Arabidopsis thaliana: one gene and its partners. The protein of the gene in region 1 purifies or fractionates together with the protein of each later gene. This does not show direct contact. Each region holds a gene or a part of one and is shown on either strand. Other genes may lie near its edges. The genes, in order: IDH-VI, AT5G12040, HSP60 and PRXIIF.

The links.
Region 2: the proteins of IDH-VI (region 1) and AT5G12040 purify together in Arabidopsis thaliana (affinity purification with mass spectrometry, with the first as the bait; one large-scale study listed by BioGRID). This does not show direct contact.
Region 3: the proteins of IDH-VI (region 1) and HSP60 purify together in Arabidopsis thaliana (affinity purification with mass spectrometry, with the first as the bait; one large-scale study listed by BioGRID). This does not show direct contact.
Region 4: the proteins of IDH-VI (region 1) and PRXIIF purify together in Arabidopsis thaliana (affinity purification with mass spectrometry, with the first as the bait; one large-scale study listed by BioGRID). This does not show direct contact.

What each region holds. Positions count from the first base shown.
Region 1 is NC_003074.8:3,005,715-3,013,134, forward strand, and holds IDH-VI (isocitrate dehydrogenase VI), read left to right. Parts: upstream 1-2,851; 5' UTR 2,852-3,038; coding exon 3,039-3,230; intron 3,231-3,430; coding exon 3,431-3,751; intron 3,752-3,839; coding exon 3,840-4,001; intron 4,002-4,137; coding exon 4,138-4,212; intron 4,213-4,408; coding exon 4,409-4,518; intron 4,519-4,604; coding exon 4,605-4,677; intron 4,678-5,164; coding exon 5,165-5,356; 3' UTR 5,357-5,751; downstream 5,752-7,420. Other genes in the region: UBQ8 (ubiquitin 8), read right to left, coding at 1-292; AT3G09800 (SNARE-like superfamily protein), read right to left, coding at 1,017-1,076, 1,226-1,310, 1,461-1,538, 1,633-1,780, 1,892-2,051, 2,194-2,224, 2,634-2,851; ADK1 (adenosine kinase 1), read left to right, coding at 6,408-6,499, 6,606-6,659, 6,951-6,997, 7,089-7,120, 7,208-7,309, 7,416-7,420. UniProt on the Arabidopsis thaliana protein: Catalytic subunit of the NAD(+)-dependent isocitrate dehydrogenase involved in the oxidative decarboxylation of isocitrate to 2-oxoglutarate. Performs an essential role in the oxidative function of the citric acid cycle.
Region 2 is NC_003076.8:3,881,804-3,889,439, reverse strand, and holds AT5G12040 (Nitrilase/cyanide hydratase and apolipoprotein N-acyltransferase family protein), read right to left. Parts: upstream 4,492-7,636; 5' UTR 4,279-4,491; coding exon 4,018-4,278; intron 3,932-4,017; coding exon 3,815-3,931; intron 3,666-3,814; coding exon 3,441-3,665; intron 3,118-3,440; coding exon 3,024-3,117; intron 2,667-3,023; coding exon 2,592-2,666; intron 2,477-2,591; coding exon 2,398-2,476; intron 2,305-2,397; coding exon 2,289-2,304; coding exon of another isoform or gene 2,271-2,288; exon of another isoform or gene 2,081-2,270; coding exon 2,000-2,080; intron 1,911-1,999; coding exon 1,828-1,910; intron 1,747-1,827; coding exon 1,668-1,746; 3' UTR 1,363-1,667; downstream 1-1,362. Other genes in the region: AT5G12043 (uncharacterized protein), read left to right, coding at 546-680; HSP17.6A (heat shock protein 17.6A), read left to right, coding at 4,756-5,226; HSP17.6II (17.6 kDa class II heat shock protein), read left to right, coding at 6,564-7,031. UniProt on the Arabidopsis thaliana protein: Omega-amidase involved in the metabolism of asparagine. Probably also closely coupled with glutamine transamination in the methionine salvage cycle.
Region 3 is NC_003074.8:8,666,063-8,674,378, forward strand, and holds HSP60 (heat shock protein 60), read left to right. Parts: upstream 1-2,709; 5' UTR 2,710-2,950; coding exon 2,951-2,988; intron 2,989-3,178; coding exon 3,179-3,332; intron 3,333-3,478; coding exon 3,479-3,638; intron 3,639-3,729; coding exon 3,730-4,001; intron 4,002-4,086; coding exon 4,087-4,191; intron 4,192-4,277; coding exon 4,278-4,364; intron 4,365-4,469; coding exon 4,470-4,559; intron 4,560-4,645; coding exon 4,646-4,726; intron 4,727-4,795; coding exon 4,796-4,864; intron 4,865-4,993; coding exon 4,994-5,071; intron 5,072-5,184; coding exon 5,185-5,280; intron 5,281-5,373; coding exon 5,374-5,473; intron 5,474-5,559; coding exon 5,560-5,663; intron 5,664-5,744; coding exon 5,745-5,850; intron 5,851-5,929; coding exon 5,930-6,008; intron 6,009-6,101; coding exon 6,102-6,216; 3' UTR 6,217-6,516; downstream 6,517-8,316. Other genes in the region: BLI (BLISTER), read right to left, coding at 1-475, 588-1,074, 1,322-1,378; AT3G24000 (Tetratricopeptide repeat (TPR)-like superfamily protein), read left to right, coding at 6,712-8,316.
Region 4 is NC_003074.8:1,824,238-1,830,349, forward strand, and holds PRXIIF (peroxiredoxin IIF), read right to left. Parts: upstream 3,670-6,112; 5' UTR 3,573-3,669; coding exon 3,357-3,572; intron 3,271-3,356; coding exon 3,241-3,270; intron 3,149-3,240; coding exon 2,990-3,148; coding exon of another isoform or gene 2,840-2,989; exon of another isoform or gene 2,790-2,839; intron 2,365-2,789; coding exon 2,270-2,364; intron 2,180-2,269; coding exon 2,074-2,179; 3' UTR 1,762-2,073; downstream 1-1,761. Other genes in the region: AT3G06040 (Ribosomal protein L12/ ATP-dependent Clp protease adaptor protein ClpS family protein), read right to left, coding at 279-839; TSC10A (NAD(P)-binding Rossmann-fold superfamily protein), read right to left, coding at 4,059-4,059, 4,158-4,452, 5,054-5,201, 5,387-5,974. UniProt on the Arabidopsis thaliana protein: Thiol-specific peroxidase that catalyzes the reduction of hydrogen peroxide and organic hydroperoxides to water and alcohols, respectively. Plays a role in cell protection against oxidative stress by detoxifying peroxides.

The DNA of each region.
Region 1 (7,420 bases):
AGCTTTTGACCTCAAGGGTTATGGTCTTTCCCGTAAGAGTCTGCACAAAGATTTGCATACCACCTCTCAACCTCAGAACCAAGTGGAGAGTTGACTCTTTCTGGATGTTGTAATCAGCCAAGGTAAGGCCATCCTCGAGCTGTTTACCAGCAAAGATAAGTCGTTGCTGGTCTAAAGGAATGCCTTCCTTGTTCTGGATCTTAGCCTTGACATTATGAATGGAGTCGGAGGTTTCAACATCAAGTGTTATGGTCTTTTCTGTAAGAGTCTTTGCGTAGATTTGAATTGTCATCTGTAAACAATTTTTTTTATGGGAGAGAAAGGAGGATTCTGAATGGTAAGAACCAAAAAGATCAGGCGAAAAAAGATGATGAGAAGAGATAGAAGAAACAAATACCTTGAGAGAGAGTAGTAGTACTTCACAGAAAACTTTTGCAGAACGATCGATTTAGGGTTTGAGTAAAAGCGTTTCTCAGTTTATATAGAAGAGGAAAAGTTTTGGATTTAAATCAGCTTTCGATAATTATAAAATATTCGACTTAATCTGTTAATTAAATAATTCGAAATTTAGTATTATCTTGTTTATCGCTTTGATTTTTTTATAAAATGCGAACCAAAACAATTCTTGCTTTGATTATTTTTATAAAATACGAACCAAAACAATTCTTGCTCTTCTGATATGGCGTGCACCTCAAAATAGAAGGTTCTGAGGGGTGGCACTTTAGTCTTTCTTCACCTTACAAGATCACTAGCATCTGAAATCGCTTGGAAAATGAAATATTCCTGAATTGCTTAGAGTTTAGACTTCAATTAGAGTAATAAAATTCCACTCTCCAAAAACATTCATGCATTGCACAAAGCTATATATATAATCAAACCTTTACTACCAAACTTTAAGAGTTTGTTTGCAGAATTCAATTATTAGAGACTTTCAAACCGAAAGACTCAAAAATAAAAAGTTGCTCAACATAGAAATTGAAGTCCATGCTTCTATTATTGTGTCGCCATGATGGAACTCATGTAAGCAGACTTCTTGCCAGATGCTCCCGAGCTGTTGCTAGCGCTTGTGTTAGTGTCTGCAATACCGAAATGTAAACAGAGGGTTCAAATTAGAAGTTCACGTTTGTGTTTATAGCCAAACCAGACCAAAGTTATAGCAAAACTAAATCAAGACTATTGCTTTTCCACAGGGAGATGTAACAATAATAGTCAAAAGTGTCGTTACCTGTTCAGAGAGTGAACCACTAGCTTCTGTGCTCTGCATTGCTACTTTCCCCGCAATGACGTTTGGATCCGTTTCAAGAACCACCCTTAACACATATTCCATAATAAGCCACAATCAGACAATAGCTAACTGCTAAGATATATGGGACAAGCTTAAAAAAGGTTGAGCAAATCTTTAGCATGCTTAAGACTTTTATGTAATTGTCGTGTAGGGCTAAACTATTAAACTTGCATACCCTTGATCGACCATTTCATCAAGGCATAGAAAGATGAGATCCAAGTTCTCAAGGGCTTCCATCTTTTCCACATTGCTCCTGGTAAAAAAAAAAAGGGATGCATCATACTTTAGTTGTGGAGATGGTTGATCAATAAATAAAGGCATATTCAGTTGTCAAGTCAAACAAATACCTCAGAAGAAGTGCAACAGCATCAAAAAAGCCTTGAAGAACAGAAGCTAAGATGAGCTCGTTTTCATTTTCACCTCCAGTAACAAAGAAGTGAAGGTCCTGGGCAAACTTATAGACAATAATATTGCTGTCCAACAGTGTGATCTCAGCTGCACATAAAACATCGATATGGCTATTTGAAAGAGATAAGTATATAAGCATACACGAAGTCAGGAAACATGATAGAAATTGTGTAGATGAAAAATGTTATGTAGTCTTACCTTCTGTACGAGCATTGGTCTTAGAGGTCTTTGAGAATACATACTTCTCAAAACTTAACTTGGCGGCATTAGTTGGCCAGTCATCCGAGTAATACTTGACAGCCACACGCTTTCCTTCAGAGTCTAGAAGAAGAATCTTCTTTACCAAAGGACAAGAATCCTATTCAATGTACATTGGAAAGTCAGTAATTAAGTTCCAGTCCAAAAAAAGAGTAAAACTCCTACAAAGCTGTATGATTGCGGCAACATACACACATTCTAACAGAATACGAAATACAATCATATAATGCATATGTACTTACAGGAGACATTGTTGTAAGACTTGAGATGTACCTGAAACAGTGACAAAAACAAAACCAAGTAGTATCTGAGTCAAAAACTTTCGATTTTAACAAGATATTAAAAACTTCAACCCACACTCACAGTTGTTCTAGTCACTGGTACAAAAGAGTACATATACTAAGATCATATGTGACATTATGTGTGTAGTGTAGTAAATGTAATGTTGATGATCTCCATGACAAGATAGCTATTATTTCAACCAGGGATTACAAATGGAGATTGACGTATTTAATAATAGACAACGAATCACCAAAATTCGGATTGATACATACATGCATTAATCACATAACTAAATCTTATCGGAGAATCACATAACTAAGCACAGATGAGAACGCAAACAAATGATTCAAGACTCAAATAGGCAGCAATGGATCTCGATAATCATAATCCAAAGGATCACCGGAATAAAAGATCGGAGAAGAAGTAATGGATTGGAGGATTCAAATGTGAAAAGCGCAAGATCGTCGAGACAGAAGAAATCGCCTCGGAGTGAGAGAGAGCTCCTTTCGCTGTTTCAGTGTCACACTGCTTATCGGGATCTGAATGCTTAATTTCATCTGACCGGTTTTTATAATTTATTGATATCCGGTTCATTTGACCATGGCCGTTTAAGAACATAGGCTGATGCCGTTTCTTATTTTCAGACACTAACTTTGTGCCGTTTTATTTCATGGAAATCGAAATGTTCTCTGCTTCTCTGCTGGAGCTAGAGAAGGTATAAAAGTAAACTTTTTCAGGTCCAACGCAGCAAAAAGTCTCCTCTTTCCTCTCTTTCTCTCTCTGCGTCCTTCTGAGGCTGGAAGCGATGACCATGACAGCATTTCTCGCGAGACGGCTTATCGGTAACGGATCGAGCCAGATTCTCGGGACTTCGAGTTCTAGCTCCGGTCCGTTCATTTCCGTTTCTAGGGCTTTCTTCTCCTCCTCCACTCCGATCAAAGCTACTCTCTTTCCCGGTGATGGGATCGGTCCCGAAATCGCTGAATCTGTCAAGCAGGTCCCTTTTTTCAATCTACTTTGGTGTTGTGTAATTTATGTTACCATATAAATTTTGTTATAGATTCTGGATACTCTTAGGAACCATAATGTCTGAATACTTTTTGAGACGTGTCAAGGGAGAGATTTGAATCATAAAGTTTGTTTTTTTTAGTTTATAGCTGATGGTTCTGAAAATGTTTTCCCTTTATGCTGATCCAGGTGTTTACTGCCGCTGATGTGGTTATTGATTGGGACGAACAGTTTGTTGGTACTGAAGTAGATCCTAGAACCAATAGTTTCTTGACATGGGATAATCTTCAATCTGTGCTTAAAAACAAGGTTGGTTTGAAAGGACCAATGGCTACTCCAATTGGAAAGGGTCACCGTTCCTTGAACCTTACTCTTAGGAAAGAGCTGAATTTGTATGCCAATGTTAGGCCTTGTTACAGTCTTCCTGGTTACAAAACCCGTTATGATGATGTTGATCTCATTACCATTCGTGAGAACACTGAAGGAGAGTACAGTGGGCTTGAACACCAGGTTAGTCTATTGTTCTGTCATTTTAGTGAATCTGTATCTAGTATCATTTTTAGAGCCATGTTGATGATTTGTCATTTTTATTTGCTAGGTCGTCAAGGGTGTAGTGGAAAGTCTTAAAATTATTACCCGTAAGGCGAGTATGAGAGTTGCCGAGTATGCCTTTCTTTATGCCAAGACTCACGGAAGGAAGAAAGTTTCTGCAATTCACAAAGCCAACATTATGCAGAAAACTGATGGTCTTTTCCTGCAGGTCAGCTCATTTTGGAACTCAGAATACATTAGCACTTCTCAATTAGGGGAACATAGCAATTTTTCTAGTCTCTCACTGGCTTCTTTTTCTTAACCTTTGTTCTGAGACAAGTTTTTATTTGCTTCCTGCTTTGCAGTGTTGTGATGAAGTTGCTGCGAAGTATCCTGAGATATATTACGAGAAGGTTGTTATTGACAATTGCTGTATGATGGTAAGCTATAACATGATATCCACCCTATCTTTTGTTCCAAATTATGTAAAGGTCAATCTCATTGTTAATTAAGTTAGTATTTGGGATAATCTTGTTGATTTTGAAGGTTAGATTTCCCAGCAACCCATACTTGGGTCTGCTTTTCGCTAATTTTACTTATGGAACAATGTGGGATTGATAATCTTAATTCTGACAGCTTGTGAAAAACCCAGCACTTTTTGATGTCTTGGTGATGCCAAATCTCTATGGAGATATTATCAGCGATTTGTGTGCTGGACTTGTTGGGGGACTAGGACTGACTCCTAGGTAACATTTGTTTCTTCGTCTCACAGATTATTGTCTAGTATGAAAATGAGGCAATCATCTTATGCTCTTATTATGTTTTGTTCCAGTATGAATATTGGGGAGGATGGTATTGCCCTTGCTGAAGCTGTTCACGGCTCTGCACCTGATATTGCTGGAATGGTTAGTCATCATTCTTAGATGTTATCATCGTTCTAAATTCGTTTGATGCATAGAGTTGTTGTTAACTTGTTAAATTATTAGAGTAAATAGGATTTAGACACTGCATTACAGATTTTGACAAATTTAAGTGAACTTGCCTACTTTTACCCTAAAACTAAGTATGATAGAAGCTGTTCCTGAGAGAAGATTCTCCATTACTCTCTTCTATGCCATTTCTTGGTTGAACATTCAGAAGCTTTCATTGTAGAATGGATTATTGTCTAGTTTATATTGTAGAATGGTTCTTACTGGATGATCGTGCTTGTAGTACTTGAATGATGTTAATAACTGGCCAACCTAGCATTGAGGGTTAAGGAGTCTAATAAATAAATCATGTTTTCAAATACAGTGGGTTTAGATATTATCTTGCCACTATTCAATATCAGAACTTGATTCGATTTTTAGCTTATGATCCACATGTTTGTTATTCTTTGCTGGTGTTGTGTAGAACCTGGCGAACCCAACAGCTTTGCTACTGAGTGGAGTGATGATGTTGCGGCACCTGAAGCTCAACAAACAAGCAGAGCAAATCCACAGTGCCATCATCAACACAATAGCCGAGGGAAAGTATAGAACTGCTGATCTCGGAGGTTCCTCAACTACAACAGATTTCACAAAAGCCATCTGTGATCATCTCTAAACACCCGTGAAAAACCATAATTCTTTCCTTACTTACTTATTGGATCTTCCTCTTGGATTTTCACTCCAAAATTTTTCTACATATTGATCCTCTTCCTATGAGGAGAAACAAAGCCGCCATAGGCTTTAGACATTGACTTGTGTTTTCCTTAGATTTGAAGTTCTTGCAGAGCTGTATTACTTCTTCTGCCTTTAAGATCCATAACAAAAGAAGGATACAGATATTGGAAGAATCCATCAAAAGGTTCACATTTACAGTTTGTGGATTTTGCCTGAATTGTTTGGCGTTATGTCTTATTCTCTGTGAATTTTCAACAATAATAATATCGTCCCTTTTGTCCTTACCTAAATTGTTTGCCTATTCTCTGTGAATGAATGAATACATAACTCTCAAACCCTGAAAAGTGAAAACTTTCAATGCTGAAACAAACCAACGTGGATGATTCAGGACTTTTCAATGCCACCGACAAATTCAATCTTTTTCCTATTCATTTTGTAAGTTGCAATGCTGTCACATTTGGTTTTCTCATTGTTTTTAACTCTCTCTTAAAGAAACAACTTAATTAGAATTTTTATGTTCTTACAACAAGATCCAATAGACTTTTGGACATGTGTTGACACTTTTCTCAAGTGGGTTGGTGGGATAGGGACGTATATAGCTGCATTTGACAACAACACTACTCTATTTCATCAATTATTTCGTTACTCATAAATTTTGTTTCAGTTAACTTTTCTCTACAAATGAAGTTGAATGAAATGAACTATACTAAAATTTGGTTTAATATAGAATTAGAAATTCCAATGGCAAATTTATGCATGATTTTGAGCTAATATATAAATATACATTATTTTGCCCAAAAAAAAAGATAAATATGCATTAAAAAATAATATATATAAAATAATAGGAAGAAGAAGAATCTATCTTTGGTATACCTACTTTGGTTTCAGAGCTTATAAACACAAACACTTCACTCACACAAAACACTTGCTCCTCCATTTACCAGATCTGAACCTCTTCCCTTTCCTCGAAAATCCTTCTAACATCATCATCCATGGCTTCCTCTGATTTCGATGGAATCCTTTTGGGAATGGGAAACCCACTCCTCGACGTCTCTGCCGTCGTCGACCAACAGTTTCTCGACAAGTAAGCTCAGATCCGGATCGTTTTCGCTCGGATCTAGATTGTTTGTGTTTACGATATTCTTTATGGGTTCTCTGAATTCTAATGCTTTCTTTTGAATTCGTGACAGATACGACATCAAATTGAACAATGCGATTCTCGCAGAGGACAAACATTTGCCCATGTAAGTGAATTCACTTTTTCTCAATCCTAGCGTGCATTTGAATTCAAATGGTGATAATGAGGATTGATTAGTATTTACTCTTCAAGTTGTTCTGTAATTGATGTGGATATGTATATGTAATCTGCGTAGAAGAATTATGATTTGATTGTGACAAGTGCTATGTTTAAGGGAAACAGACACAAGTGTGGTGATTTTTCATTGCCCTTAAGTGATTCTTGATGTGATTTTAATATGACAGTGATTATTTTTCAAATACTCTTTGTTTATTCACATGATAATTGGTATGTTTAGGTACGATGAAATGAGCCAGAAGTTCAATGTTGAATACATTGCTGGAGGTAATTCATCTTTTGAGCTATCAATAGACATTTGGTGTTCATGTGTATTTGCAGTATTTTTGATATTTTCTTGATTTCGTTTGGCTTTCAGGTGCTACCCAGAACTCAATCAAAGTGGCCCAGGTAAAGGATAATTACGGTTTCTACTCATACTTGTTTTGAAGTTAGTACCTTTTTTTGCTAAATGAATGGTATCTTTGATTACTGCAGTGGATGCTTCAAGTTCCTGGGGCAACCAGTTACATGGGATCCATTGGAAAGGACAAATACGGAGAGGCAATGAAGAAGGATGCTACAGCAGCTGGTGTCTATGTGAGTCTGCTTTATGTTTATCAATTATTAATTATTGGTGGTTGGTTTTGCTTCATGTTCAATCATCAGGAAATAGACTGTTAATCTGCGCTTGTTCTGTATCCAGGTCCA
Region 2 (7,636 bases), on another chromosome or scaffold:
TCATAAACACTTATGTCTTCTTCTTCTTTTTTTTTTTCTTTTTTCGTTATGAAAAACACTTATGTCTTCTTGTGTGTCTATTCTATATATCTTTGTCACACTTCGGCCAATGTTTTTCGTTTGACATCTCCTTATCATATCCAGTTTCGAATAATTCCCCCGTAAATATTGTTTCTAGTTTGGACCATACTTTTACCTAAACATAATAATACAAGACAGTTAAAAAAACAAACAAGATATATAGTACAAAACAGAAACTTACATAAACATGACTTCTTGTTTGATTGTTATGAAAGCAAAAATATTTTTGTGTCCTTGTTTAAAATACTATGCCTATAACAATAATATACTCCAAAATTGAGTGATACTATTTGGGAGTAGATATCATTTACACATCATACAAACATTACACTAATTTCTATTTGTATGTTTAAGAGAAATATAATCTATAAAGTAAAAGCAACAAAAACTGTAAGATAATGTTCGCTAAAGTGAGGTTGAATAGATAAAATATTTACAAAAAAAGGGTTACAAAATGATATAAAATGGAAATGAATCTTAAAAAATGGAAACAACTATTTGAGTTATTGGGATATGAGCAAGAAACAGGAGTAAAAGGAAATAATACCGCACGGGGTAGTCAGAGATTGAGCTGGTCAGGGAGAGACAATAAGAGCTGACACAAAGAAAAGAGAGAAGATTCACGCGGTGGTACCGAACTGTGGTGAGGTTTGGTCCTACACGTGACCTGGCACGTGAAGCATAGCCCATGGCCACATGGGCCCCTAGCACGTGCGGCCTCCCACACGCGTACGGCATTCCTTCTTTCGCAGAGTCCCTGTGACGAGCATGGACCACTCTACGTCTTTCTTTACCCTATAGGCTTGGTCCACGTGTCTTCTCCAAAGACGAAACCACTACACACTGTGGTGAATCTTGTAAGGCTTCTGCTGTTGTAACTGCATTTTGTCGTCCGGTCATTTATCATTCAACAATAACCACGGATCTTCAAATCATGTTGAGGCCGCTGACAAAAGTTTATATGTTATTTCATTTTCAAATCTTTTATATCCCACTTGTGCTTGTGGATGAACCTATCTGCATACTCTATATACTCTTTTCTTCTTCTCATCTAAAACAAATTACATTGCATATTACAAATCTTGATGTGTAGCAAAATATACCATGGCTATCTTTGACTTGACTTGAGTTATGTGATGAAACGTTTTGAGTAGGTGTGAACATTTGAAGAACCAGTTATAACAATTTTAGTTTAAGTAAGTACTCGATATTGAATATGATGGTTGTGGAATGAAGATATGAGTTGTTTTTTTCATAGACAATGACATTTACTGAGAAATTCACAAAAATAGTGTATATATTTTGATAAAAAAGTCAAATGCTATTCTGATTGCGAATCACAAGTCTACATTGTTATCAGAATGCATTGAAGTTTATAAACAACAAACACATGGCAAGTGGGTGGAGTTCACATTATCTAAGCAGAATTTACTTGCCTTTGTTCGATTTTAACTCAAAAGTTTGATTTTTATTCTTTTACATATCTCAGCAAAGTTGTGGAGAAATGACTGATCATGCATGAAGTTGTAAGTAACCAAATCGTGCTCAACTCGCAATATCTCTCAGATATACAGTTACTGCTGCGTTCATTTAGAGTCTAAGCGCTGTACGTCTACAAGCTGGTAAAGATCTCCCCGCCGCTGCCTATTCAATGGAAGGCTAGTCCTAAGATGGTAAAAAAAACGAGATTCAGTTAGCGGATCACGCTATCAAAAACCAAGAAAGTTCTGGTGTTTCCGTGATTACCTTCGTTGTTCAAGGATAGAGTAATCAATCTCTGCTATGATAATGGCCTCCTCATGCTCAGTCGTTGCTAGTACTTCTCCAAACTGTCAAATAATATATATGTTTCAAAGTTTAGTGATCAGCTAAAAGCTTCATTATCAATCAAGTAACACAGAAAAAGTTTAGTGCTTACAGGCCCAACGAGTGTTGAGTGCCCCCAAGCAGTGTAGCCAGCTCCTGAATCTCTGGCAGGTGAGCATGTCGCCACATATAACTGGAGAAAGTAGCATACATAGTTCTATTAACCGGTCCATGACTTTGATAACAGTCAATTAAGTAAAACTAACCCCAAAGAGCAGAAGATAATACTTGTATTGATAACTCAAAGAAAAATGCAGGTTTGCTATGAATTCATTAAGAAATGTCAGAACTTGTATCTCTCTTTTGGCTATCAATACAAGTATTTAACTTGGTTCATGTACCTGATTATCCGTAGCCCTGAAATGGAACAAAACAGATCGATGAGCATTGTGATTTACCCATGATTAAATAAGCCAAGAAAGTCGTAATGTAGTAGACTGTGAATCATACCTGGCCCTTTGTAGTAATTCCCAATGCAATGGTCCAGTTGTCATGTTAAAGGCTCCCGGGTAGCACAGCAAATGAGCCCCTGATATGATTAAAGTAAACATGTGGGTGATGAGGTTCTTTAAAACGTAATGGACCCGAAAAAGAGAGGAAGCAGATAGTCCATTTGGATAAAGCATTATGATATGAAGACTCACCTCTTGCAGCATATATCATAGCTAACTCCTGGAACCTGATATCATAACAGATGCCTATTCCAATACGCCCTACATCTGCAACAACCAACAAAACTATCATTCTCAAGCGCTGCACCGCGTTAAAGATTTCTCATAAGTACTAGAAAGTGAGAGGTGATGTGAACGGTCCTACTATGACTTGATTGTTCAATAAAGACATTTCCCCAGTCAAAATAGTTGGCAAGATCTTAAAAACATTATTATTCATAAACACTAGGCCAGCATGAAAATGAATCATTTCACTGTTGAGCTAAGAAGATCCCAAATCTGACTGGAAATTTAAATCCTTAATCCTAAATTATTATTTTTAGATAGTACCACAATGAGTTTATGTAAGATACATGATTGTTTATGCATGACCTGGAATTATATTTGGCAAACCAAGATTATAACCTGTGTCAACGATTGTTGGTGTCTCTCCAGCAGTAAGAGTTTTGGATTCCATAAAAGTAATCTTCCCGGGAATGTCTATATCAAATAAATGTATCTGTATGCACACACAAGTACAAACACAAATAAGTGCAAGCAATCAAAAACAAGATGTTCTGAGAATTGATAATATAAGCATAAAACGGTCAAGGCCATCTCGCCTCATAATTTGTCCTTATGAATCATAGAGGAAGAACTCGAACCAGAACATAACTACCACATCATTCTAATTACTGATTCTAAGTCTATTAGATCCTAAAAACAGATGATAAAAGATGAACAACGATTTTAGAAGTAAGATTAGCATCTTTCATTCTATGGCCTAAAGCAGAGGAAAGTTCATTATTTCTTCTATGAAAGTTTAATCTCAAAAAATCTAACCTTCCGATGCTTAGCTTTTAGCTCTCCATCGGAACCAAAGACACAGCAAGTGTTATACAAACGATCTCCAACTCTTTCTGGTATAGATCCACCAATGATTGTAATCTTGAGACGTTTGGAAACTTCAGAAAGCATTGCCGTTGAAGGAGAAGCATCACCACCTGCATCAATCTCCTCCGCATAAACTGGAAAACTATCATTGGAATACGGACTGTTCCAAATTTCCTGAAACAAACCCATTGAATGGTTTTAAACCCCATAGAGACGATACCACTAGCTCATACTTTTTGTAAATTTTACACATTTGAGCAACAGAACATTAGAATTGAACTCACAAAGAGCTATGAGCTAAGATACAAAGAAGAAAAACTCACGGGTAAGAGAACAAGCTTAGCTCCTTTAGAAGCAGCTTCTTCAATGGCTTTTTTAGCATGAGAGATGTTTCTCTTTTTGTCAGATGTAACAGATAGCTGACACAATCCGATGTTGAACTACAAAATTACCCATGGAACGAAGAAATCAATCAAAAGCTGAAATGATTGAAAACCCAAAGGTAAATGAAAAGAAAGGAGCTAACTTTGGTCAACGGAGGAGCTGGGAGAGGAAGAGCAGAGGGAACTCTAGCTTGTTCAGGGTTGAAAGAAGAAGCCATGGAAGAGGAAATGGATCTTAAAGCTGAGGTTGACGAAGATGGGAGCTTCAAGGTGTGACTAGTGATCGATCTCGGAGATAATTTAGGGAGGAAGTTAGATTTGAGAGAAATGAAGCGAGAAAGAGGATTAGGGTTTAAAAGATTCTTCGAATTGAAGAAGAGTGACGATGAAATTGCTGACTTCATTTCACTTTAGTCCGATGATCATATAGGTAGGTAGATGATATTGATACTTCACCTCACAAAAGCCATGACTCATGAATCCTCTGCGTTTGCGTTTCAACCGTATTGACGCGGTTCAATCAATTTTATACACTAAATTCGAATGAAATCGTACCAAACCGGATAAATTTAACATCCTTACTAAATCCAAAACAGAATACATATGGGCCTGAAAACGAATTGGTCTTGGGCCTGACCGAATCAATCGCTTTTCTCTACATTCGTCTAGAAATATCCATCTACACTTCTCCAACGATCAAGACGTTTCTCGAACGTTAGAGAAGCGCTTTTAAGTTCTATAACACCGAAACAATCGCTCTCTCTACATTGCTCTAGAACTATCCAACTCAACTTCTATTTAATACTTTCTTACATCAAAATCAAAATCAATCAAACCAAAGAAAAAGCCAAGAAGCAAGAAAGTTAACACAACAGCTAAGAATGGATTTGGAGTTTGGAAGGTTTCCAATATTTTCAATCCTCGAAGACATGCTTGAAGCCCCTGAAGAACAAACCGAGAAGACTCGTAACAACCCTTCAAGAGCTTACATGCGAGACGCAAAGGCAATGGCTGCTACACCAGCTGACGTTATCGAGCACCCGGATGCGTACGTTTTCGCCGTGGACATGCCTGGAATCAAAGGAGATGAGATTCAGGTCCAGATAGAGAACGAGAACGTGCTTGTGGTGAGTGGCAAAAGACAGAGGGACAACAAGGAGAATGAAGGTGTGAAGTTTGTGAGGATGGAGAGGAGGATGGGGAAGTTTATGAGGAAGTTTCAGTTACCTGATAATGCAGATTTGGAGAAGATCTCTGCGGCTTGTAATGACGGTGTGTTGAAAGTGACTATTCCGAAACTTCCTCCTCCTGAGCCAAAGAAACCAAAGACTATACAAGTTCAAGTCGCTTGAGTTTGTTTGTGATCGTGTTTTTGTGTTTTAATGAATGTAATCGATAAGCAACTACCTCTTGGTGTTCGTTGTAAAATGAAATAAAAATAGTTTTCTCTGTTCATATTTGTCTTTGTGTTCAATCTTCAAATCAATGAAGTTTTTGCTCTCTTGAACCATCCATGCTTATGAGGCAAAAATAGGACCACAACAAAAAAGACACCGAATGGTCATTCCTCTGTTTTTGCAGAAATTATTACTGTTCATCCTTTCCTAATATCATTGGTGCTATTTAGCACATTGGCCATCAAATCCACATTTGCATTTCACCCTTATCTCTGCAGTCAGCAAAATATATTTTTGGAGTTATGTCCCTTGAAGTAATTTATGGGTATGAGATCAGTAACACAGTGTTATTATATCTGCAAAAACTCTTACATATTCAATTTTATCCTTTAAGTATTAGATGAAAGGAAACAATTTTGTTATTCTGATTTTAAAATCCAAACAACTCTTTGTACTTTTTTCATGTTGGATAACGTAACTGAATCTTCAGCTACTACATCTGTAGTATAATACGAAGTCTGATATCTCAATCTGCTACATTATTTTTTAAATGAAATTTGCATTTGCGAATGCAAATAACATCAACTGAGTTTTAAGACAAATCAAGTTTTGTGCAGATTTGTAACCGTCTTTAATAGCTTATATTAATGTCGTTATACACGATTTAGTGGTATTCAGTGAGTTAGTGCTACCACATATATAGTATTTTTCTTTGGTCACTAAAATAAATATGGTCTTTCATTAATTTTTCTGACCAGAAACCAGAGCATATACTAATTTAGTCTTGTTTCCATCATTAAGACTTTGAACTTCTGATCTTGAGGTGCATGTTGTACACTTGTAATCCAAGTCTTCAGCAATTGTATGTACTTTCCAGTTGAATGTATTCTTTAAAATGAGCAATATTGTTCGGATTCCTTAAATCACAAAATTTGTTCTTTAATTTGCTAAAACACTAATCTTATGAATCATGAACTATTTTCACATATGGAATGGGCCTTGATATATTCCTAATTTAAAAGCCCATATAGATATTAAAAATTCTGTAAAGTTATGGCTCATATTTTATCAAACCTGAGTTACAGAGTTCACAAAAACCAGAACGACCAAGACGTTTCTCGAACAATACGGAAGAACTTCTAAAGACCGCGACAATCGCTCTCTCGACAATCCTCTAGAAATATCCATCTCCACTCCTATTTAAGTCCCCACATTTCTCACATCAAACTCATCAAAGAAAACAAAAAGCCAAGAATCAAAGAATCAGGAAAGCAAACACAACACAACTAACAATGGATTTAGGAAGGTTTCCAATAATCTCAATCCTCGAAGACATGCTTGAAGTCCCCGAAGACCACAACAACGAGAAGACCCGCAACAACCCTTCACGAGTTTACATGCGAGACGCTAAGGCAATGGCTGCTACACCTGCTGACGTCATCGAGCACCCTAACGCATATGCATTCGTCGTGGACATGCCTGGAATCAAAGGAGATGAGATCAAGGTTCAGGTCGAGAACGACAATGTGCTTGTGGTGAGTGGAGAGAGGCAGAGAGAGAACAAAGAAAACGAAGGTGTGAAGTATGTGAGGATGGAGAGAAGAATGGGTAAGTTCATGAGGAAGTTTCAGTTGCCTGAAAATGCAGATTTGGACAAGATCTCTGCTGTTTGTCATGACGGTGTGTTGAAGGTTACTGTTCAGAAACTTCCTCCTCCGGAACCAAAGAAACCAAAGACAATTCAAGTTCAAGTTGCTTGAGTTTGTTTTGTGATTGTGTGTTGGATTTATCTATTTTGTTTTGATTTATGGATTTGATGAATGTAATCGGAATGCGTGAGGGATATGGTGTTTTGTTCTAAGATGAAATAAAAGTTTGTTCTGTTTCTTTCATTCTCCTTTGGGATATTCAAATTAATGAAGTTGTTATAAGAATCTTCCACATCAAAGTTCTGGAAACATCTATTGGCCCAGTGGAAATAAGAATGTTAATATACATCTCTAAATCGCTCACTTACATTATGTGAAACAGATAACTGCATGTGATACATACTTCACTTTATTTAATTTGACCAAGTGACAGACCAATTGGTCAGTCCTCTGTTTTGCATAACTTAAAATACTTGTTCTTTATTGTTCATCTTTTTTAAGCATATATCTTTGGTGATCATTTCTTCTACTAATTCCAACACATCTCTTTAGCCATCTAAGTCCAAATATGCTTACCATTACCTATACAGTCAACAAATATACGTTTGGAGTTAGGCCCTAAAAGTAATTTATGAATCTGTTCAGTGGAATAGTTTAATATCTGCGAGAACTCTAACATACACATTCAATTTTATGCTTCCAAGTGTTTTGATAAG
Region 3 (8,316 bases), 5.7 Mb from region 1:
GCAGCAGGATATAAAGAACTCCGAAACTTTTCAAATGGATTAGGATAATCAGATGCTCCGCTTGTCAAAGATGATGGTCCATTACTGTCTCTTCTCCCTGATATATAAGATGGCCCAAAACCATCACTGCCAGATAGTTGGGAACCACTGGATGTAACCAAATCCGCTTGTATCTCAGGGTGTTGATATTGAGTCTCTGGAGCTCTTGATATATTGAGGGAATCAAGGAAAGACGGACGAGATCTCTTCACAGTTGCTTCACTCTTAGCTGAGTTTAATGGTGAAGAGCTTGTGATATTCACACTGAAATCTGAAGGTTCAGAAGGTCGAGATGATGTGTCTGGAGAATTAAACAAATAACTGCTTGACAAAGTTGGCTTCTGCACAATGCTACCTCCTAGTTCACCACTTCCCTGTTGGTTTTTGGCAACTTCGTCAAAAGACCCTGCCATCCTGGTAGTAGGTTGTAGAGAGTCTAGCAACAAAAACCGTAATGATAAATTAGGTTGTTGCCTTTAAGGAACAAAAAAGAAGGAGGGTTAGGACAAAATACATTACTACATTAACCTCATATGATAGCCACGTACCTTTTCTGGATGAGGTTAATCCACTGCCGTGAATGAAACCATCCATTTGCATTGAGGTTCCAGAAAAAAGAGATGCAGTTTCTCTTAGAGTAGAAGCACGATCAAAACTTTCACTCGATTGCTTGTCTATATTGCTATAAGGTACAACTTCAGGCCTAGTATTCACTGTTAAGTCCTTCGATGAACCTATCAACTCTAAGCTATTAGAAAAATCAACTTTGCCCACTGATTCCTGACCATCATCTTGTCTACTTCTTTCTTTGCTTCCATCATCCATTGCTGTATTCGAAAATGATAAATTATATACATCTTTGGTATGGGTTTCATTTGAGGTAGATTCAGCAGATTGCTTGAGAGGTCCATTAGAGATAGATGCACCAGCTCCATCTGAATCTATGACACTTTGTTGGCTATTATCAACAGGTTGTGTATTCTGTGATGCCTTTTTAGCTTTTTCTGCTGCTTTTCGTTTACGAAACTGCTCAAGCTGAAAATCCAGAAATTAAACGATAAGAAACACACAATTTTACGCATTCATCTTTAAAAAAAACAAGCTTTTTGTCGAATAAATCTCAATTCTGATTGCATGCGTTAGGACATCAATCTCAATTCCAATATAAACAACCCACCTAAAAAAAATGATCAATTGACTCAGCACCGACAAATTTTAGGGGCAAATTCAAAGTAACGAGAGAATCAAACAAAAGATGATGATTATGATGATGATGATCTACCTTACGGCGTCCAGCTTCAACGTCCTCTTGCCTCCGGGAACTAGTAGCTGATGCCATTGAAAAATACTCGAAATCTCGCAGAGGGAAATGTTCCCTCTCCAATTGCTTCAAATCAATGCTTTTTCAATTACCATTGAATCCGTTTTAGCCAAAGCCATTCCCGGAAATCGCCGTTGTTATGATTGAGGAGAAAACTCAAATTTCAAAAAGCCCAGATCCTGACGCACAGATCGAGAAGATATCGTTGAAATTTCGGGGTGGAGGAAACAGATGGAGATCTCGAGAAAACAAGTTCAAAAATCGATGGAATTGTCAAACAAAGAAATCGAAATTAGGGTTTTCGATCTGAAGGAGAGGAGGACGAAGTTCAAATATTAATTTTGTTCGTCAGATCTCTTTTTAACAGATCCCTTTCTTTTTATTTTCCCCTTCTCTGCTTTGAATTAAACGTTTTTACTCGTTTTTTTTTTTCTTTGTTTGGTTGCAATTTTTTTTTAACGTTCACTCATTGTTTGTTTGGTGAAATTTAGATTTCATGTAGCTTTTGATTTTAAAAATGTATAAGAAGTGTGTAATGTATTTGTTCATAGTCTGTTGTATTTTTTGAAAAATAAGAGAGAATGTTTAGGTAGTAAGAAAATTAAGAGAAAAAAAAATGGAGAGAAATGAGTCGTGATGGACACATATGACAGGTAAAGAAAATAAATAGGAGCATCCATGTGGCCCGTGGAACATGACGACAGCCCACCAAATTACTCATGTTTTTAAAGAGAGAAATTGACAAATTTTAATATCAATAGAAGCTTCAAATTCCTCTACTTTAGGACAACTAAAAGAGCAAAGTAATGAAGAAAAAAAGTGAAGCAAGGTCAACCTTTTGGTATCATCTAGGTGTTTATTATGGGGTTTGGTTCACTTTTTTGTTTGCATTGTTTGGATTTTGGATTTCTTTTGGAGTTCTATTTCATATTATCAGTTTTTATCTTTGCGTATTTAAGAAACTTTTACTGAGGTAAAATATTACACAAATTGCCACTGATTTTAGAGAACAAATTCAATTTAAAAAACTCGAAACACCGATTTGTTTTGTAGAGCTGAAGCAAACCTAAACCAAAAACCTAATCCAACCGGAACCATTTAATTACCGTTGGTTTTCTTTGGTTTGGTGTGGTTCAGTTTGATTAGATTCAAGGATATTTAGATCAAGCGATATAATTTTATTTTATTTTTTGGTTAAACGCTATATAAAATTTGACATGTATATTATGGCAAAATCACAAATGCTGGTTATCAAAAGATGAAAAAATGAAATCTGTTTCTTTGGGGCAAAAAATATTACAGAAATTAAATTGGAAAATGAGATTAACGACTTTTTTTTTTTTTTTTTTCGTCAAATGAGATTAACGATTTTTAAGTTTGAAATGAAAGTTAAACCCTAAAGAGGCCTAAAACCCTAAAAGGCTCATATAGTAACTAGCAGCTGCTTCTAGACTCTTCTCCTTCGCTTATTAAGCCCTCTCAACTCTTCTTCTCTCTCTCTCTCTCTCTCCGCCTGTTCTCCATTGATCTAATCTAACTCGCTCATCAGAATCATCTCTTCATCGTTAATCCTCTTCCTTCTCACTCACCATGTATCGTTTCGCTTCTAACCTCGCCTCCAAGGCAAGGTAATGAACTCACTTTCTTCGTGTTTTTTATTCACTCTCATTGGAAGCTAATGAGGAATTAAATCGATTTGGGTTTTGATCTACTCTCTTCAAATTCATCTGGGCTCTCGAAATCTACTAGCTTAATCCCGATTCTGAATTGCCAGTTCTGATAATAAAAATGGTGTCTTTATTGTTCTCTGTTCTTCAGGATTGCTCAAAACGCTCGCCAGGTTTCCAGCAGAATGAGCTGGAGCAGGAACTATGCAGCGAAAGAGATTAAGTTTGGTGTTGAAGCTCGAGCTTTGATGCTTAAGGGTGTTGAAGATCTTGCTGATGCTGTTAAAGTCACCATGGGTCCCAAGGTACTCTTTTTCTTCTACACATTTTGATTTGATTTGGACATGATTTGGCCAGAGGTTCCTTCCTTAGCATGTGATTTGGGTGACCGGTTGATTCTGTATCGAATTTGGTCTAAGACTTTCTGCTTTATGTGATTCTAATTTTGAAGGGACGTAATGTTGTGATTGAGCAAAGTTGGGGTGCTCCTAAAGTGACAAAAGATGGTGTTACTGTTGCCAAAAGTATTGAGTTCAAAGACAAAATTAAGAACGTTGGTGCTAGTCTTGTGAAGCAGGTTGCAAATGCTACTAATGATGTTGCTGGTGATGGTAAGATATTTCATTTTGATTGATTATGCGGTTCATAGTTGTAGAAACTTTGCAAAACTATGTACCAATGCTTGTTTAACTTGTCATGCAGGTACTACTTGTGCTACTGTCCTCACCCGGGCTATATTTGCCGAAGGATGCAAATCAGTTGCCGCAGGAATGAATGCAATGGACTTGCGAAGAGGTATTTCCATGGCAGTTGATGCTGTGGTGACAAACCTTAAAAGCAAGGCTAGGATGATCAGCACATCTGAAGAGATTGCTCAGGTTGGAACCATTTCTGCTAATGGAGAGAGGGAAATTGGTGAACTTATTGCCAAGGCTATGGAGAAGGTTGGCAAAGAAGGTGTTATCACAATCCAAGTAAGTAAATCGCCGAATGATTGCTCATGTTGCTACTTATATATTGGTCAAAACATAATTCTGACGTGGGTATAATGCATTGCAGGATGGAAAGACATTGTTTAACGAGTTGGAAGTTGTAGAGGGGATGAAATTGGACAGAGGTTATACTTCACCATACTTTATCACTAATCAAAAAACCCAAAAATGTGTAAGTTTTTTACTCCCTGCTCAATTAAGTTTCTTGATGTGTCATATCAATTATAGAAGTTACTGAATTGGAATTAATCTATGTAGGAACTAGACGATCCTCTCATTCTTATCCACGAGAAGAAGATCTCAAGCATCAACTCTATAGTGAAAGTGTTGGAGTTGGCTCTGAAGGTATGTCTACTTTATCTTTATAGTAAATCTGTAATCATTTTCTCATGTAAATGCTGTGTGAAAGGCATCTGATGTGGTTTCTGTTGTCCAAATAAAATCTTACAGAGGCAAAGACCACTATTGATTGTTTCTGAAGATGTGGAAAGTGATGCTCTTGCAACTCTTATCCTTAACAAGCTCCGTGCCGGAATTAAGGTTTGAACAACAGAAGCTCTTACTACCGTCTCCTGACTTTTAGCTATGACTTCTTTGCTTTTAGATTAATAGTTTCCTCCCTGCAGGTCTGTGCCATCAAGGCCCCTGGGTTTGGAGAGAATAGGAAGGCCAATTTGCAAGACCTTGCTGCCCTTACTGGTGGAGAGGTAGTACATTTGTTGTGTAATGTGTTAGTCTTGTCAACAATGGAATATTATTGACTTAGCTTGATACAGGTTATCACAGACGAGCTTGGCATGAATCTGGAGAAGGTGGACCTAAGCATGCTAGGAACCTGCAAAAAGGTAGCCTTTGAAACCTTAACTGATATAGACATGGTGGCTCTTAGTATGAACTAGATTTGGCTATTACATTCTCAGCATATCCTTGTTGGATTGTAAGTGTAGTTGAGACTTGTCTGGCTATTTGTATAGGTTACAGTCTCCAAGGACGACACTGTTATTCTTGATGGGGCTGGCGACAAGAAAGGAATTGAGGAAAGATGTGAACAGGTAATTTTTAACCTTATACCCTGATAAATTGGTTAGTAATAAAATTTGTATGCAAGAAATTATGAAGTGTATGAAAGTAGTTCGTTCTAATTGCTTGGTATTGCAACTAACAGATTAGGTCAGCAATTGAACTGAGCACCTCAGATTATGACAAGGAAAAACTGCAAGAAAGGTTGGCTAAGCTCTCTGGAGGTGTTGCAGTGTTGAAGGTTAGTCCATGTTATAATGTTTTGGGAGTCTTAGAATCATAGCAGCCTGGTTGTAAGTGTCTTGTTATAACTTCTGGAGCTAATTGTGTTTAGATTGGAGGAGCAAGTGAAGCTGAAGTTGGTGAGAAGAAAGACAGAGTGACAGATGCTTTGAATGCCACTAAAGCAGCAGTTGAAGAGGGTATTTTACCAGGTATGTCTCTTCCAGTGAGGAAGACTCTTTGATATAGTGCTAAAAAGTTTGCTATGTGCTAAAGAAACAAATCAAAACACTTGCAGGAGGAGGTGTGGCTCTTCTATACGCAGCAAGAGAGTTGGAAAAACTTCCAACAGCCAACTTTGACCAGAAGATTGGTGTCCAGATTATTCAGAACGCATTGAAGGTTTTCTATTCTTTAGAACTAAAATCCTCTGATCTGATAATTGATGACAAGAAATTGTTTTAACGAGTTTTGGTTTACCAGACTCCTGTTTACACAATCGCTTCAAATGCTGGAGTTGAAGGTGCTGTTATTGTTGGCAAGCTCTTGGAGCAAGATAACCCAGACCTCGGTTATGATGCTGCTAAAGGTGAGTTTCACAATCCATCATCACTTCACTTTTGTTCTCTCTGAAGATTGCATTTAGCTAACTGTGGAGAACAAACTAGGTGAATATGTGGATATGGTGAAAGCTGGAATCATAGACCCTCTGAAAGTGATCAGGACAGCTTTGGTTGATGCTGCGAGGTAAATAAAAAGCGAACACCCTAACTAACAATGTTCTTCTTCATTTCGATATATGAGTCTTAAGCTAAAACTGTATACTTGCGTTGTTGGCAGTGTGTCATCTTTGTTGACGACAACGGAAGCTGTAGTGGTTGATCTTCCGAAAGACGAAAGCGAGTCAGGAGCAGCAGGAGCAGGCATGGGTGGAATGGGAGGCATGGACTACTAGATCCACTAAATTCTGTCTTTTGTTTTCACCAATCACCATCTTAACTTGAGAAGAGAGATACGATTCTTTTAGGAGTTTTAGTCTTCGTCTTTGCCTTATTGTTGCTCAATAACCTCAAAAGTTTTACAATAAACAGAGCACACTTGGCAATGTTACGAGACACACTATTAGCATCAACAAATTTTCCTAAGGCATCATTTGTGTTTGTCATTGCTTCTGGTTCAGGTCTGGTACTCCAACAATAAACCGACCCTTCAAATTACAGTATTTATATATATACCCAAGTTTCATCGTAGTTAAACCAAGATTTAGCAAAATTAAGCAACCACTAACTGAAATGCACCAAAAAAACGAAAACCACAAAATCCAAATTACCATGAAATCGAACTGAAATATATTCCGGTTATATACATTGACACAAACCGAAGATAACCAAACTATTTTCAGTTATAATTCATCTCCGGTTAGCATCTTTGATGTTGTCGAGTGTCGACCATGGCATTGCGTTTCCCGCCTCGTCTCCTCTCTCAGCTGAAGCTATCTCGGCGTCTGAATTCTCTCCCGGCACCGGTATCTGAAGATTCCGAAGACGAATCTTTAAAATTCCCATCCAATGATCTTCTTCTCCGAACGAGTAGCAATGATCTCGAGGGCAGTTATATTCCCGCCGATAGACGTTTCTACAACACGCTGCTGAAGAAATGTACAGTCTTTAAGTTGCTCATTCAGGGAAGGATCGTTCATGCTCATATCCTTCAATCTATCTTTCGTCATGACATTGTTATGGGCAACACTCTTCTCAATATGTATGCTAAATGCGGAAGTTTGGAGGAAGCTCGTAAAGTGTTCGAAAAAATGCCTCAGAGAGATTTTGTTACTTGGACTACTTTGATTTCTGGTTACTCGCAGCATGATCGACCTTGTGATGCGTTACTTTTTTTTAATCAGATGTTGAGATTTGGATATAGTCCCAATGAGTTCACTTTGTCTAGTGTGATCAAAGCTGCTGCAGCTGAGAGAAGGGGATGTTGTGGTCATCAACTTCATGGGTTCTGTGTAAAATGTGGTTTTGATTCGAATGTTCATGTTGGTAGTGCTCTTCTTGATTTGTATACTCGCTATGGTCTTATGGATGATGCACAATTAGTCTTTGATGCGCTTGAGAGCAGGAATGATGTTTCTTGGAATGCTCTGATTGCTGGTCATGCTAGGAGAAGTGGTACAGAGAAAGCTCTGGAGCTTTTTCAAGGGATGCTTAGAGATGGTTTTAGACCTTCCCATTTCTCATACGCTAGCCTCTTTGGTGCTTGTTCCAGTACAGGGTTCTTGGAGCAAGGGAAATGGGTTCACGCTTATATGATTAAATCCGGTGAAAAGCTTGTGGCCTTCGCGGGAAACACTCTTCTTGACATGTATGCAAAATCAGGAAGCATCCATGACGCGAGGAAAATATTCGATAGATTGGCTAAAAGGGATGTGGTGTCTTGGAACTCGCTGCTGACTGCTTATGCCCAACATGGATTTGGAAAGGAAGCAGTGTGGTGGTTCGAGGAAATGAGGAGGGTTGGGATTCGCCCCAATGAAATCTCGTTTCTCTCTGTGCTTACAGCTTGCAGCCATTCTGGTCTTCTAGATGAAGGATGGCATTACTATGAATTGATGAAGAAAGATGGGATAGTTCCCGAGGCTTGGCACTACGTCACAGTCGTAGACCTTCTTGGGCGAGCCGGTGATCTTAATAGGGCACTGAGATTCATTGAAGAAATGCCAATAGAACCCACTGCAGCCATCTGGAAAGCCCTGCTTAATGCTTGTAGAATGCATAAGAATACGGAATTGGGAGCTTATGCGGCTGAGCATGTATTTGAACTTGACCCTGACGACCCTGGTCCCCATGTAATACTATATAACATCTATGCATCTGGTGGCAGATGGAACGATGCTGCGAGAGTGAGAAAGAAGATGAAGGAAAGTGGAGTGAAGAAGGAACCTGCTTGCAGTTGGGTAGAGATTGAGAATGCAATCCACATGTTTGTGGCAAATGATGAACGTCATCCACAGAGGGAGGAGATTGCTCGGAAGTGGGAAGAGGTTTTAGCA
Region 4 (6,112 bases), 1.2 Mb from region 1:
TTTTCTTGTCAGCTCGATTTTGACGTTGTGCCGACAATTTAAGGCATTTTTAACTAATTCGCTTGGTCCCTCTCATCCTATACGGCATCGTTTCTAATATAAGGATAGAGGACAAGAACAAGTTCCAAAGAGAAGGCAAACAATTGACCAAAGTTCTTGAAAACTCAATGTCAAGTAATCGATTTGTTATTACAAAACATCTACCTTAAGTACCAAGATGTGATCACAATACCAAATAGTGAATCAAACAAAAAAACAATCGAAGTGTCAAAAGTCACCTACTCCATAACTGCGATTCCACCAACAGCTTTGATCTTGGCTATGATTTCATTAGCTTCTTCCTTTGTCACACCTTGTTTAAGAATAGCCGGGACTTTCTCCACAAGCTCTTTCGCTTCCTTCAGACCCAAACTTGTGAACGTTCTCACTTCTTTTATCACTTTGATCTTATCAGATGCATTAAACTTCTCCAACTTCACATCGAAAGCCGTCTTCTCCTTCTTCTCCTCTACATTCCCAGCTCCGGTATCTTGTTTTGCTCCAATGCCGTCCGATGAAATCATCTGTTGTTTTGGAAGCCTCAGGTGTTCATTGAGTGCAGGACCAATCTGTTTTCTTTCTTCTGGAGATAAAGCAGCTATACGCTCAGCTAGCTCCATGATTTTGCTTGAAGGCTGGGGTCTAGGACCATACGGATCATAAACTGACGGGTATTTGTATTTCTTGGGTTTAGCTTTCGAGACAGAGTCTTGCTGCAAGAAACGAACTTGCACAGACCAGATTACTTCCGGTTGACATTGGCGAGAACGAACGTTTCTAACAAGTGAAATAAGCTTCATGACTACTATTCCTCTGCTACCATACAAACATCAACCCAAGATCATTTCATGTCTCAAAATGTCAACAGGACAGCAACAGTAAAAACTCTCCTGTGTTTTCAAAAAAAGACGAAAACTTTAGCTAGCGAATCTACTAAACATTGATAATATTCCAATGCAAAGAGATCAAGATCTCAGAATAAGACTGATTATCAAGAAATTAGTGCTTAACATAAAAATAATTTCAAGAAACATGTTTCTATTGTATAGGTTTAGGTTCAAAGGTTTCTTCTTTGCAGATCAAATGAACATATCAAGATCAGTGAAACAAAATGGTGAGTAAGAAAGGATGATTCATAAGATCGGTTTCAGCGTCAATAGCCCAAATATAAATTCCAATGTATCAGATTTGATAGTCTAGGTTATTAGCTGCTAACACAGTTCCGAAATCAAACAATGGGATCCATGAACCGCCAATCTATTATCTGAGAGTTGGAAATCGGAGAAGGAGATGAGAAAGAGAGATAAGGCTTACCTCCAACGGCGGAAACGGCAAGCTTCGCCGGCTCTGACTTGATTATTACTGTGAGAGACGGAGATGAGTCACGCATAGGGTTTAGAGTGGAAAGATTCCTCTTTTCGGCTCAAAATTACTTTTGTCTATGGGCCAAGCCCAATAAGGATCTTATCAACAAATTTGACATACTACGTCCTTGTAAGGCCTTTCACAACAACCCACTCAGCTTTCATGTCCTCCCTCAAGAGCAGCACCTAGTTCATCTATATACCTTCATACTCCACAAGCAATGGCTTTATTTGGCATTGGGTTTGAAATAGCTGGCTCCGGATTTTAGTCAAATGAAAGAGCAGCTTGTGATTGCAGAAACAGATCTCGAGGCCACAAGGTTAGAGACTCAACAATGGAAGGAGAAACACCAGGTAGCGAGGAAAGAAGCTAAATTGCTCAAGAACACGAGTGGGAGACTTAGGATTAAGCAGAGGAGTCTTAACCTTCATGTTGACAATGGGGACACGAAAAATCATATCCCTCAACCACATTGGTTTCTTATTCATATTATGAACCAGATTTACATTTGGTGAGAAACGGCAAGACACATAAGTTTTATTTAAACTGAAACTGTGGAAACAAAACAAAAGAAGTGAAGCTGTTACTTGGTCTGATCCTTGAGACATGTTCGGATCAAACTTATTATCAGTTGCAACTCAGAAGAAACAGCAACTCTGGAAATACTTTTTAGATCTGTCCTAAGATGACTTCTGCCCCTGTAACCTTGAAGTCAGACGGTGCTTCTTCCACATTCACCGCCTTAACCTTCCCGTCTTCTACATAAGCCGACCATCTGAACATGGACATCATAAATCCAACGAATCTGTTAGATCAATGGTTTACGATACAAACATTTCTACAAATGGACTTTCCAGTATATTACCTCTCAGACCGTGGCCCGAGCAATGCAGCAGAGAGATCCTTGTCTAGCCCCAAGCTTTTGTGAAATTTCCCATCAAAATCTCCATAAAACTCAATCTGGTATGACAACGTTCAAGAGCATCACATTAAGTCATTTGTTCTAGCATGTAGTACTAGTCGATATAAAGAATTATGAACTTTCTAATGAGGGAAGTCCATTTAATCATAGAATCAAATTCTTTTATCGTCTATTAATGTGAAGGTAATCATAGACAACGTTCAAGAGCATCACATTTAAGTCATTTCTTCTAGCACGTAAACTTATCCGAACATAAACATAGAAATCTATTGTAATGCTAGTCCATATCAAGAATTATGAACTTTCTAATAAGGGAAGTCCATTTAATCATAGAATCAGATCTGTTTATCGTCTATTGGTGTAATATAAAATCTTGAGACCACAGACAACGTGAATAATAGAGTAATATAGTTCTAACTATAAGAGGTTGATTACTATCAGGACGTCAACAAGAGTTACATACTTGAGGAGTTAAAAGATTCCTAAATGAACCATCTTCACCACTGAAAACTCTTAGACAACGAAACCAGGAACCGAATAATATATGTTATGTTGCAAATCAAGTTTTCTGAAGCAAAGAACCAAATCAGCATACACTAAACATCGGATTAGGTTGGTGTCAAAGAACAAAGATAGGAACAAAAAAAAAATCGATGAACTTACTGCATCTTTGGCACCAAGCTTCTCTGCCCAACCATTGATAGCAAAGGGATCATTAACAGAGACACAGATGACAGAATCAATGCCTTTGGCTTTAAACTTATCAATGTGGCTCTTGTAGCTAGGCACATGCTGCTGTGAACAAACTCCCGTGTAAGCCCCCTGAACACAGAAAACGAATATTCCGGCACAACATCAGAACTCAGAAACCTGATCAAGACATAAAGGAACATGAAAAGATAGAGATTTCTTACAGGAAGACCAAAGATGACGACTTTCTTCCCCTGCAACCAATCAATATCCACAAACGTTTTGTCAGAAATTGAAATCCCCCTCTGAATTGAAATTGTCAGAAAAGAGAGATTCGAACCTTGAAGATATCTGACAATGGCGTGGTGGAGAATTTGGAGGAAACACCTTCGTCCCAGCTGCGAGCTTTCTGGAGAGAAACGCCAGGCGCCGCCGAGGTTATGTCAGTGCCTTCCGCGAGCTTTGAGAAACCCCTCGATGAAACTCCGATCCGGGCACTATTTGCCGCCGATCTTAGTGCCGATAAATTTCTTAGCTTTAGAATTGACATCGCCATCGCTGAAAATAAGATTGAGACCGTTTCTTGGTTCCTTCGATTACTGTATAGTGTCGTTTATGGCACTTCTCAAAGACCTTTCTAAAGAGACTTAATCGTTGCCGTTTTGTAACAAACAAATCAGACTGCACGTTGTTTAAAAGCCTCAAGAACAGCACACACTCAAATTTTGGTTTTGAAGTTTTTACTTCTTTCAAATACATCATTTACATTTCATCTTGTGAAAAACATTCACTTCTTGACCAAGTAAAAAATACATTCAAATGAGTTCTTTGATTTCTCTATAAAAAAAAAGAAAAAACAGAGCTTGTTCAAAGACCGGAAACATGAATCTTGACGAGTTTCTACAAAACTATCAGCAATGTCGATATTCTGAATTGGTATAGTCGACTAGCTGGCGTGGTACCGGACTGAGAAGAAGGTTTGAGAATACCCATCAATGTTTAAGCTTCTGCCAAAAGCACTTCAAGATACATTGTCGGGCTGTCTGAAATTACAAAAGAGAAGCAATTTTAGAATAGTGATGTCGCAGTCAAGCAAGAGCAAATTCTATATGATGACAACTTGATGGCATTAGGAACTTACCATTTGGTTTTGGTTTTGCTCCATTTTTCAATGGCTTTATACCAATCCCATTGAAAGAAGAGAGCGATTAATCTTATAGGCCCTGCGGTTATAACTTCAAGAAAAGCAAGCCAAAATGATCTTTGAGGGGACATGCCGGTTGTCGCGAGAGACAGTAAGAATCCCTCAAAGTTGCATGAGACGGTGAAGTTTCCTGCTTTTATGCCATCCATAGCCTTTTTTGCTACTTCTTCTGTTTCCATTGAACCAGAGGATGCAGCTATTATGGCAGTGACTTCAGGTCTGCTCTTCTGTTCTGAGAGAGCACCCAAGGAAAATCAATCAAACTCATAATATGAACCAAGGAACTCAGAACATCAGTCCATAATGTGTTTACTTCATTAGTTATCAAAAAAAAAAAAGTGCTTACTTCATTCTCAGATAGGCAAAAAGAAGTCTTTTATGAAATTTTCAGATGCTATTGGAAGATAACTACATCCCATTATTCTCTTCTAAACAGTATCATGTGAACCACAGTACGCAGAGACTTCAAGCTAAACACTATCACAGTACTCAGTACTTAACTCACCAGTCTATCAGTTTCTCCTAACTGGCACTCTCATAGAACATGTGAACATGAAATGCTACGTGTTTGATAGAGTACACAATTATTCAGACCAGATAAGGGCACATATTTGATCTCATAATAACAAACTAGATGAATAATAGTTTATGTCTACATATGTCCCAACCATATAGTACAGCCTTATTTAGTAATCTGTCTCCAACTCTTTTATACATTTAATTGCCTTAGTATTTAGTAGCAGTACCTAATCCTAGCTACCCTCACATGTTAAACTTAGATTATCTGCTCTATACATCCATGATGAATCTGAAAAATACTGAAGCTTTTTTACCTTCTTCAAAGCCGGGTGTATTAGTGTCAGGAGGAAAAATAAGAGTGACATGAATATCATCAGATATAACTTCCTGTTGCAATGCTTGCGCTAAACCCTGAAGACCAAACTTGCTTGCTGAATATGCAGCATAACCATAGACACCAACCTGAAAATTTTATTAAAAAAAACATCCTTCATCATTCTATCTTTAAAACTGCATTACATGAGGTCACATTATTGCAGTTACACAAAAGTTACTTCAAGTGATAAATTGTCAATGTCTTACTTCAGGTAACTACAATCTCCAGATAAAACTTAAATCCATAAAGATGGGAAATTTGAGAGACGAACCTGACCAGCTTGAGAGGAGACGAGACTGATGGAAGCAGGTCCACGATCTTTCCTTGCTTTCATGGCAGGCAAAGCGGCTTTAATCACATTGAAGCTCCCAACAAGATTTACGTCAATCGTGAATTTGACATCTTCAGGACTATGTTTCACCAGCTCCTTCGCCGTAAACACACCTTGGTTAACAATCAACACATCGATCGGTCCCGATTCATCTATCGCCTTCGAGACTGCATCGTAATCGCGAACGTCTGCAGAGAATGTGGCGACTTCGACACCAGTGGCGAGCTGGATCGATTTCTTAGCCTCCTCGAGCTTTGATCCGGATCGGGCGAGGATTGAGACACGAGCGCCCTCGGAAGCGGCGCGGTGGGCGAGAGCAAGACCGATGCCGCTAGATCCACCGGTGATGAAGGCGTGACGGGACTTGATAGGGATCTTAATGGGACGAGGACGTACAATTAGGGCTAAGATAGCGAGAAGCGATAGTGGGATAATGGGAATGAGGAAGAGAAGGAAGAGAGGAGAAATGGCCGCCATGGATCTCGTGACGAAGCTCTCGGCGATGTGAAGCTCCGTCAGCTCATTCATTGGAGAAATAAAAACAAATACGATTAGACCAGTTAACCAATTACTCGGTTTAATGATTTCTATCTGAACCGGCCGTTTTAGTTTCTCGCTGTAATTTATTTTTTATATAATAATTTTGTGACTTGTTGTCGTTGTGTT